Linked DNA regions of Diceros bicornis minor. The protein of the gene in region 1 interacts with the protein of each later gene in a biochemical or structural test. Links are inferred from orthologs where the notes say so. Each region holds a gene or a part of one and is shown on either strand. Other genes may lie near its edges.

The links. The genes of interacting proteins can lie anywhere in the genome.
Region 2: the proteins of CRHR1 (region 1) and MAGI2 form a complex in vitro, tested with the Homo sapiens proteins (2 studies listed by BioGRID and IntAct, with this or other methods). The link is inferred for Diceros bicornis minor from reciprocal best matches to the Homo sapiens genes CRHR1 and MAGI2.

What each region holds. Positions count from the first base shown.
Region 1 is NC_080757.1:44,380,579-44,384,326, reverse strand, and holds the start of CRHR1 (corticotropin-releasing factor receptor 1), read right to left. Parts: upstream 2,771-3,748; 5' UTR 2,586-2,770; coding exon 2,553-2,585; intron 1-2,552.
Region 2 is NC_080742.1:16,782,545-16,786,292, reverse strand, and holds the start of MAGI2 (membrane-associated guanylate kinase, WW and PDZ domain-containing protein 2), read left to right. Parts: upstream 1-1,100; 5' UTR 1,101-1,132; coding exon 1,133-1,190; intron 1,191-3,748. UniProt on the Homo sapiens protein: Seems to act as a scaffold molecule at synaptic junctions by assembling neurotransmitter receptors and cell adhesion proteins. Plays a role in nerve growth factor (NGF)-induced recruitment of RAPGEF2 to late endosomes and neurite outgrowth.

The DNA of each region.
Region 1 (3,748 bases):
CTCATTCACACACAACCACTCTCTCATGCACACTCATACACATTTCTCTCACTCACACACACACATTTCTCTCACACACATCATCTCTCCCTCATTCACACACACAACCACTGTCATGCACACTCATACACATTTCTCTCACACACATTTCTCTCACACACATCATCTCTCCCTCATTCACACACACAGCCACTCTCTCATGCATACTCATACACATTTCTCTCACTCACACACTCACACACATCAACTCTCCCTCATTCACACACACAACCACTTTCTCATGCACACTCACACGCATTTCTCTCACTCGTGCACACACACACTCACACACTCTCCCCCACACACTCTCCTCCAGATCATAATCAGCACAGTGCGAGGCCCACAATAGGGCCCCCTTTCCCAACCCTGGCTGACTTGGTGGGGAGAGAGCTGGATTTTGGATTAACTCTCCTAGATTCATACTTTCATACTGAAAAAACTACCTGAGCTCTTGTCTGGCAGAGGTCTAGGATGAGATTTAAGTGGCTTAGAATATTTTCTGGTAAAAGCTACCAAAACAAAGCCCTAGAGCCACAGTGCCTGGGTTTGAATTCTGGCTCCACCACTCACTGGCTGTGTGATCTTAAACAAGTTACTTAGCCTCTCTGTGCCTCAGTAATAATTCCTACTTCCCAGGGCTGTTATGAGGACTAAATGACTTAATATTTGCAAAGAAGGTAGAACAATGCCCAGCAAGTTGTACATGCTACATAAATAAAATAAAAAGTAATTATTTAACTGAAATCAGTATTCACTGCCCATTCACTCACTGCCTCTCATTCATTCGGTTTTTGTTGAACACCTACTGAGTTCATTAGGCCAGACATGAAGGGCACACGCCTCACTATCTAGTAGGAAACACACACACAACAACAGTAAAAACAGTTTCTTTTCTTTTAGGAAAACGTGATAATTCTAAGCAGAGATTTGCACATGATTCTAAGAAAGGCCAGGGAAAGAACATTTACCTATTACCACGTAAACTCAAAAAAATCACCAAAAACCTACAGTTAAATCCTTTGAATCCATTTAAAAGAATGAATTCGGTCGAACTGATTTGTGTATTTAGATTTAGGTTCTGTACACACAAGCATTTTGGAAAATATTCCCATTCAATGCCATCTACTCAACCTCTCTGGATGTTTTTCTTCCTCCCTCCCTCCCGGATCTCCTTGATCACTCAGAAAATAATCTCCCAGCTCGCCCCCAGGCCTCAGTTAAGGGGTGGGAGAGGGGGTATGGTTCAATCAGACCAGCCCTCAGTCACTTTTAAAAACAGCTTATAAATATTTGGGAGCGGGAGGGAGAGGATGGAGAAAAACCCAGTAACTAGGAACGTCTCTACTGATGAACTGGCAGCGGTTGCATTTTAAAATCTTGATGGTTTAACTCAAACCACTTTGTGAGCTGGTACACGTTTAATGACTGATGGAAAAATGAAATTCAGTCAATCCGCACCCCTCCCCCAAATCCATTCAATCCTTTTGGACGAAACCGCTTTTAAATGCACTGAACCCAGTCAAGCTGGTGTCTGTGTTTGTAACTCAGGCCGTCCACACCGACCCTGCGGAGTCCGGATCCTCCGGCGTGAGCCGCGCGGGGCTCCCCGGCGGCGGCGCCCAGGCCCCCGCACCTCTCCCTCCGGCTGCTGCTTACGTGCCTACACCCAGCAACCGGGGAAGCGCTCGGCACTGGGAAGTGGCTGGCGGCTATCACTAGCGGCGGGCCTGCTGTCGATCCCCAGCCCTTCCCTGGCGCACGCCGCCCGCGGACAGCCCCCCGACGCCCCCGAACTTCAGCCGCAGACGCTGCACGTGCGGTCTGGCGACTTTCCTAAACTCCAGGCGCCGGGATCGCGTCGCCAGACCCGGGGCAGGAGCCGCCGGCGCAGCGCGGGGACCCGCGAGTGCAAAGGCTGGGAGGGGAGCGCTGCGCTCCCGCCGGCCGGCCTCGGCGGAGGAACCGCAACCGCCGCCGATGCACTCTCCTCCCCGGAGACTGCGATATTGATCCAGAGTTCCGAGGCGCGGGGGACATTTATCTCCACGGATTTGAAGCTTTCAGCGGAGGAGAAGGGATAGGAAGGAGCTCCCAGGAGCAGGGCGGGGGCGTGTGGAGTGGGGGAGCTGATGAGAGGGTGCTGGGGCGGGTGAGGAACCCATCTCCAGGGCCTCCTGGCCGGGTCTGCATGGGAGGGGTGGCAGGGAGAACCAAGCGTCGACTCCCAAAGCCTAAAGCGATTCTCGGCACAGAGCTGGTTACCCGGGTGGGCGGACCCCCTCCTCCGCCAACATCCCGGCCGCTTCGCCACAACGATTTCTTTTTTCACCTGAGTTCTCTCCCCACCCACCCAGCACCAGCTCCAAAGGTCCAGGGAGAGGGAGTTGGGCTGCCCCTCAAACCCCGGCCGCCCCCGACCTGTGCGCAGCTCTTCCCACTGACCCCCCATCACAGCCACAGCCCACCCGTGTCCCGCGCCGGCCCGGGGCTGGGGGCGCCCGCGCTTCTCTTACCTTGACGAGCCGGAGCTGCGGGCGCCGTCCCATCCTCGGGCTCGCTCGGTCACCGTCCTGGACGCCTGGGTCTCTCGGACATCCCAGAGGGGCCAGCCGCGGGGGCGGGCTCGGGCGGGGCGGGGATGGGGGGCGGCCTGGCTCCTCTGTCGCTGCCCTGCGCCGAGGCGCCCGGCTCCGCGCTCCCCGGCCCGCAGCCCGGCCCGGCCCGGCGGGCTCTCGCTCTCCCCTTCCCGAGGAAGTCCGGCCGCCGTTTCCTGACTCAGCCCGGCCCGCAGCCGCCTCTCGCCCGCCGGGAGCCCGCCTCGCCCCCGCCGCCTCCCCCTCGGTCCGCGCCGCTCTTCGCCTCGGCTCCCCGCCCCCTCGCCTCGGCGTCCCCTCCCCTCTCTCCCTCTCCCCTCCCTTCCCCTTCGGTCCCTCCTCCGCGCCTCGCCCCTCTGCTGCCTCCGCCACCCCGCCTCCCCGTCCCCTCCCCTTCCCCGGGCCAGCTCCTCGCGCCCTAGCCGCGCTGACCCCCTTTCCCTGCGCCCCGGTTTGCGGCAGTCGGCGGGGCGCACTGGCGGCAGTGGCGGCAGCCGCAGCCCAGGGAGAAACCGGGGATGGGGTTGGGGGGTGGGGGGAGACGCGCGGGAGAGGAGGCAGCCTCTCAGCTCCTGCCGGCTTGAAGTCCGGGCCTGGGGAGTCCAAGGAGTCTGAGGGGACTTGGGGGCCTCTGGCAAATCTATGGGAGCGAGGCTATTGGAGACTGGGGAATAGAGCAGCCCCGGCTGAGGGGAGCCTCCGCGGAAACCAGGTGGAGCTGAGGACTGCGTTTGGGCAGTTCCCGCCCTGCATCCCGCGGGGAGAAGGTCCTCACTGCCCCCGCCTCAGCGAGGCCTTTGGCGCTGACACCCCAGGTGCGCGCAGGGACACGAAAGCTCTGCGGAAGAAACCTCATTCATTCATTCATTTCATTCATTCGTTCTTTCATCCATTCATTCATTCTACAAACTAAGCGCCTGCCCAGTTTGGTCCCAGCAAGGGGCTGAACCTGGGAACCCCAAGATGAAGGGGAGACGGCGGTGCCCTGCAGGACTAGCGGACGTCTGAACGCTGCGGCGGGGAAAGCGGAGCGCATTGCGCTGCGGCGGGGGGAAAGCAGCTAGGAATCCAGCGGGCAGAGTGTAGAGGAGGCCACAGCGCCCCCTCTCGGCCGA
Region 2 (3,748 bases), on another chromosome or scaffold:
ACTGAGTTCATCTATTCTTCTCCCCACATCAGTGAGCATCCTTAACACTCTTTGTTTGAACTCTCTGTCGGGTAGGTTGCTCATTTCTGTTTCACTTAGTTCCTTTTCTGGGGTTTTGTCCTGTTCCCTTACTTGGAATGTATTCTTTTGCCTCCTCATTTTGCCTCTTTCCCTGTGCTTGTGTCTACGTATTAGGTAGGCCAGCTACGTCTCCTGCTCTTGGATAGGTGACCTTATGTAAGTGATGCCTTAGGAGGCCTCCAGTGTCCTTCCCTCAGTTCTCAATGTTCCAGCGTTGATCCCTATGTGGGCTACATTTGGCCTTCTGTTGTGGCCTGTTTGCTCTCCCTGTAGGTGCCCAGGGAGGCCGAGTTAATGCTCCTGGCCAGCTGTTGTAATGCTCAGCTGCTTGTAGTTGTTGTGGGCCCTTCAGTGTCTTTACCAGGTGTGGGGAGCCCAAGCACAGTTGGCTGCAAGTTCTAATACCACATTTGTGTTGCAGTATTTCTTTTAAGTGAGTAGGCCCCCAGCGTGGCAGGTTGTTAGGCTCAGGGCCTTACAATTGCTGTAAGCCTCTAGCCTATTAGGTCTCTTGTCAGCTCTCTGAGGATTGCAGCTGGGTGGGGCTGGCCTCAGGCACAGGAGCACCCAATTGTTTCAGGCTTTGGAAGGTGGGGCAAACCCCCTATGTGGGTCTTTGAGCAGCACAAGTCTTCTGCAGCTGACAAGCCCTGCTGCCCACAGGTCCATACACACAGTCAACACATTCCTGCCCCGTGTGCGCGCCCCGACCTCCCCAAGCGGACCCAGTCTCTCCACGGCGGGAGCCCCACACACTCCGCCACCGCCCCACACTCTCCACCCGCTCCTTGTGCATGCCCTGCCCCGCTAAAGTCAGCTCAGTTGCCAGGCTGCAGAGAATCCAGTCACCAATCTATGCAGGCCCACAAGTTGCTTGAGGGCTTGTTGTTGGGTGGGGCCAGTCTGTAGGGTGGCTGCCCACCCTGGCTGAGCTGGATTAAATCGGTGGTCTAGCGGGTGGGGCAGACCCTGAGCTAGCAGGCCCCAGGGAGAACTCCAATGGCGTCTGTGTCAGCACGCCCACACTAGGGCACAACAATGGCTGCCGCCAATGTCCCAATCCCTGGAGAGGTCTCACCCCTCACCGAGATGCACTCAGGGCCTCTCAGGTGAGTCTCGTTTCACCGCAGCACTGTGCACCTTTCTTTCTGGTGATTTTAGGATGCTTTCTGAAACGGGTGACTTTGCGCGTGGGCCCTTTAAGAGCCAGTTTTAGTTTCTTTGTGAACCGGCTTTTCTGGGGGTACTCCCCAATGTTTTAGTAGCAGGCAAGTCAGATATTAAGCCACTCATCTCGATTGTGCTGGGTCCACGAAATCTCCACAGCGGGGGCGCTCCCCGACTCGGGGCCCCGCTCCTCCAGGGAGGGTGCGTACCTGTGAAGCTGGCGGCTTGTGAAGACGGCGTTTTTTCTCTCCAGAAGGGAGTTTCTGCCTCTTCTACCTCAGTTAGGATTGTCCGTTGTTGCAGGAGTTCCTCTTATCCAGTTTTCAGTTCTGTCTCAGGGGTAATTTTCCCACGAGTAGTTGTAAATTGGCTGTGTCCGCCGGAGGAGGTGAGTTCAGAGGCTGCCTACACCGCCATCTTGACTTCCTTCCATATGTTAAAATGGCATTTTATCTCAGTGGGAGAAGCATGAGGCCTTAAAATATTTTGTTGGAACAAATGAATAATCCTTTTTTTTAATGTTTAATTTTATTTATTTTTTCTTTTTTTGGGTAACATTGGTTTATAACATTATATAAATTTCAGGTGTACATCATTATATTTCATTTCTGTGTAGCTATGTCATGTTCACCACCCAAAGACTAATTACCATCCATCACCATACACCTGTGCCCTTTTGCCCTCCCCCCCCTTCCCCTTCCCCTCTGGTAACCACCAATCTAATCTTTGTATCTATGTGTTTGTTTGTTGTTGTTGTTATTGCTGTTTTTATCTTCTATTTATGAGTGAAATCATAAGGTATTTGACTTTCTCCGTCTGACTTATTTCACTTAGCATAATATTCTCAAGGTCCATCCATGTTGTCACAAATGGCAACTTGAAAAATTAAGACTACAGCTACCATATGATCCAGCTGTTCCACTTCTGGGTATTTATCCAAAGAACATGAAAACACTAATTTGAAAAGGTATTTGCACCCCTATATGTTCATTGAGTAACCATTTTTTAAAAATGAAATTAAAGTAGATCCCTATCTACTTTCTTACTCCACACCAAAATAAATTTTTGATGAATTAAAGATTTTACTGGAAAAAAATTAAAAAACACGAAGAACTAGAAAAAAAATACCTATGACTATAATATTGCAGTGGAAATGCCTCTCTTAAATTAACATAAACAGTCCAAAGGAAACTAGCTACCGATTTGACTACACAGAAGAGTAAACTTACAAATAACATGGTAGACAAAATTTAAAGTGAAACCATAATCAGGAGAAAATATTTAAGTGTATTTTTAATAGATAAGGCACTATTATGAATCAATATTAATTTTTAAAAAGCAGAACATGAACAAAGAGGTAAACAAGTTAAAAAAATACAAATGACTAATAAACATATATTTGCTTAACTGAACTCACAATAAATAATAATTGAATGAAAACAATGACATAACATTTTTGCACATTACATTGGCCAAAACATATGTTATCTCTAGTTTTGTCTGCTTCTCGTCTGTCTGTCTGTCTGTCTGTCACAGACATCTCAGTATTGTGACAGTGAAGTAGAACAGAAACTCTCTTACACTCTTGGCCTAAGTTTCATTAGTTTGCAGTATCTCTATAGGGCAGTTTGCTTATCCTTATCAAAAGACTTAGGATTTTGCCTTATCTTTGACCACACAATCCTACTTCTATGATTTATCCTAAGATAATTATCATAGAGGAGCATATATAAACCTAAAAAGAGTTTTTTTAATTAGTAGCAACTTTAATTTGTAACAAATGCGTTCAATAAATTGTGGTACAAACATACAATGGAATAATACACAACCGTTCAAAATGATGTTTCAAAGAAGGATCTATTACAAAAGAGAAAGAAGCAGTTTATAAAACCGCATATACAGTATAATATTCATGTAAAAAATGTTTACACATGTATGTGAAAGAGAAAAGTCTGGATGGACGTGTGCACAATTATTTATAGTGGTTAATTCATGATCTTTCTTTTTAAATTTTTTCTTAACCATATTTTCTAAATTTTCTAATTTTGGTATGTATTGTTTTTTGAAAGGGGATTTAAAAAGTTATTGAAAACATTGAATTTCAGTGGAATTTGATATTATTTTCTCTAAAGATAAATATATATCACTATTGGTGAGTCAAAGATCTCTAAGAATGCCCTTTGGCAGTTTTTTTTCATTTTCTCATTTTTTATCCTAGAACTTTATATCATACTCAATTTTTCTATTTTTTTGGATAACATATAAAAGCATTTTATTTTGCTCTCATCCTAAAATTGAACTTAATATACTATCTGACACCTAGATTTTTAAAACCATTTTTCACAAAATGGCACTAGTTTTACCTTTTAAACAGCAGAAATTGCTAAAGGGAAAACTTGCATTTAAATGTATTTACTGTTCAAATTTTTATTTGTCTAACTGTTCTCCCTTCACAGACGTATCTGGCATGCTGATATTTCCTCCAAAGAGTCAGAGAACG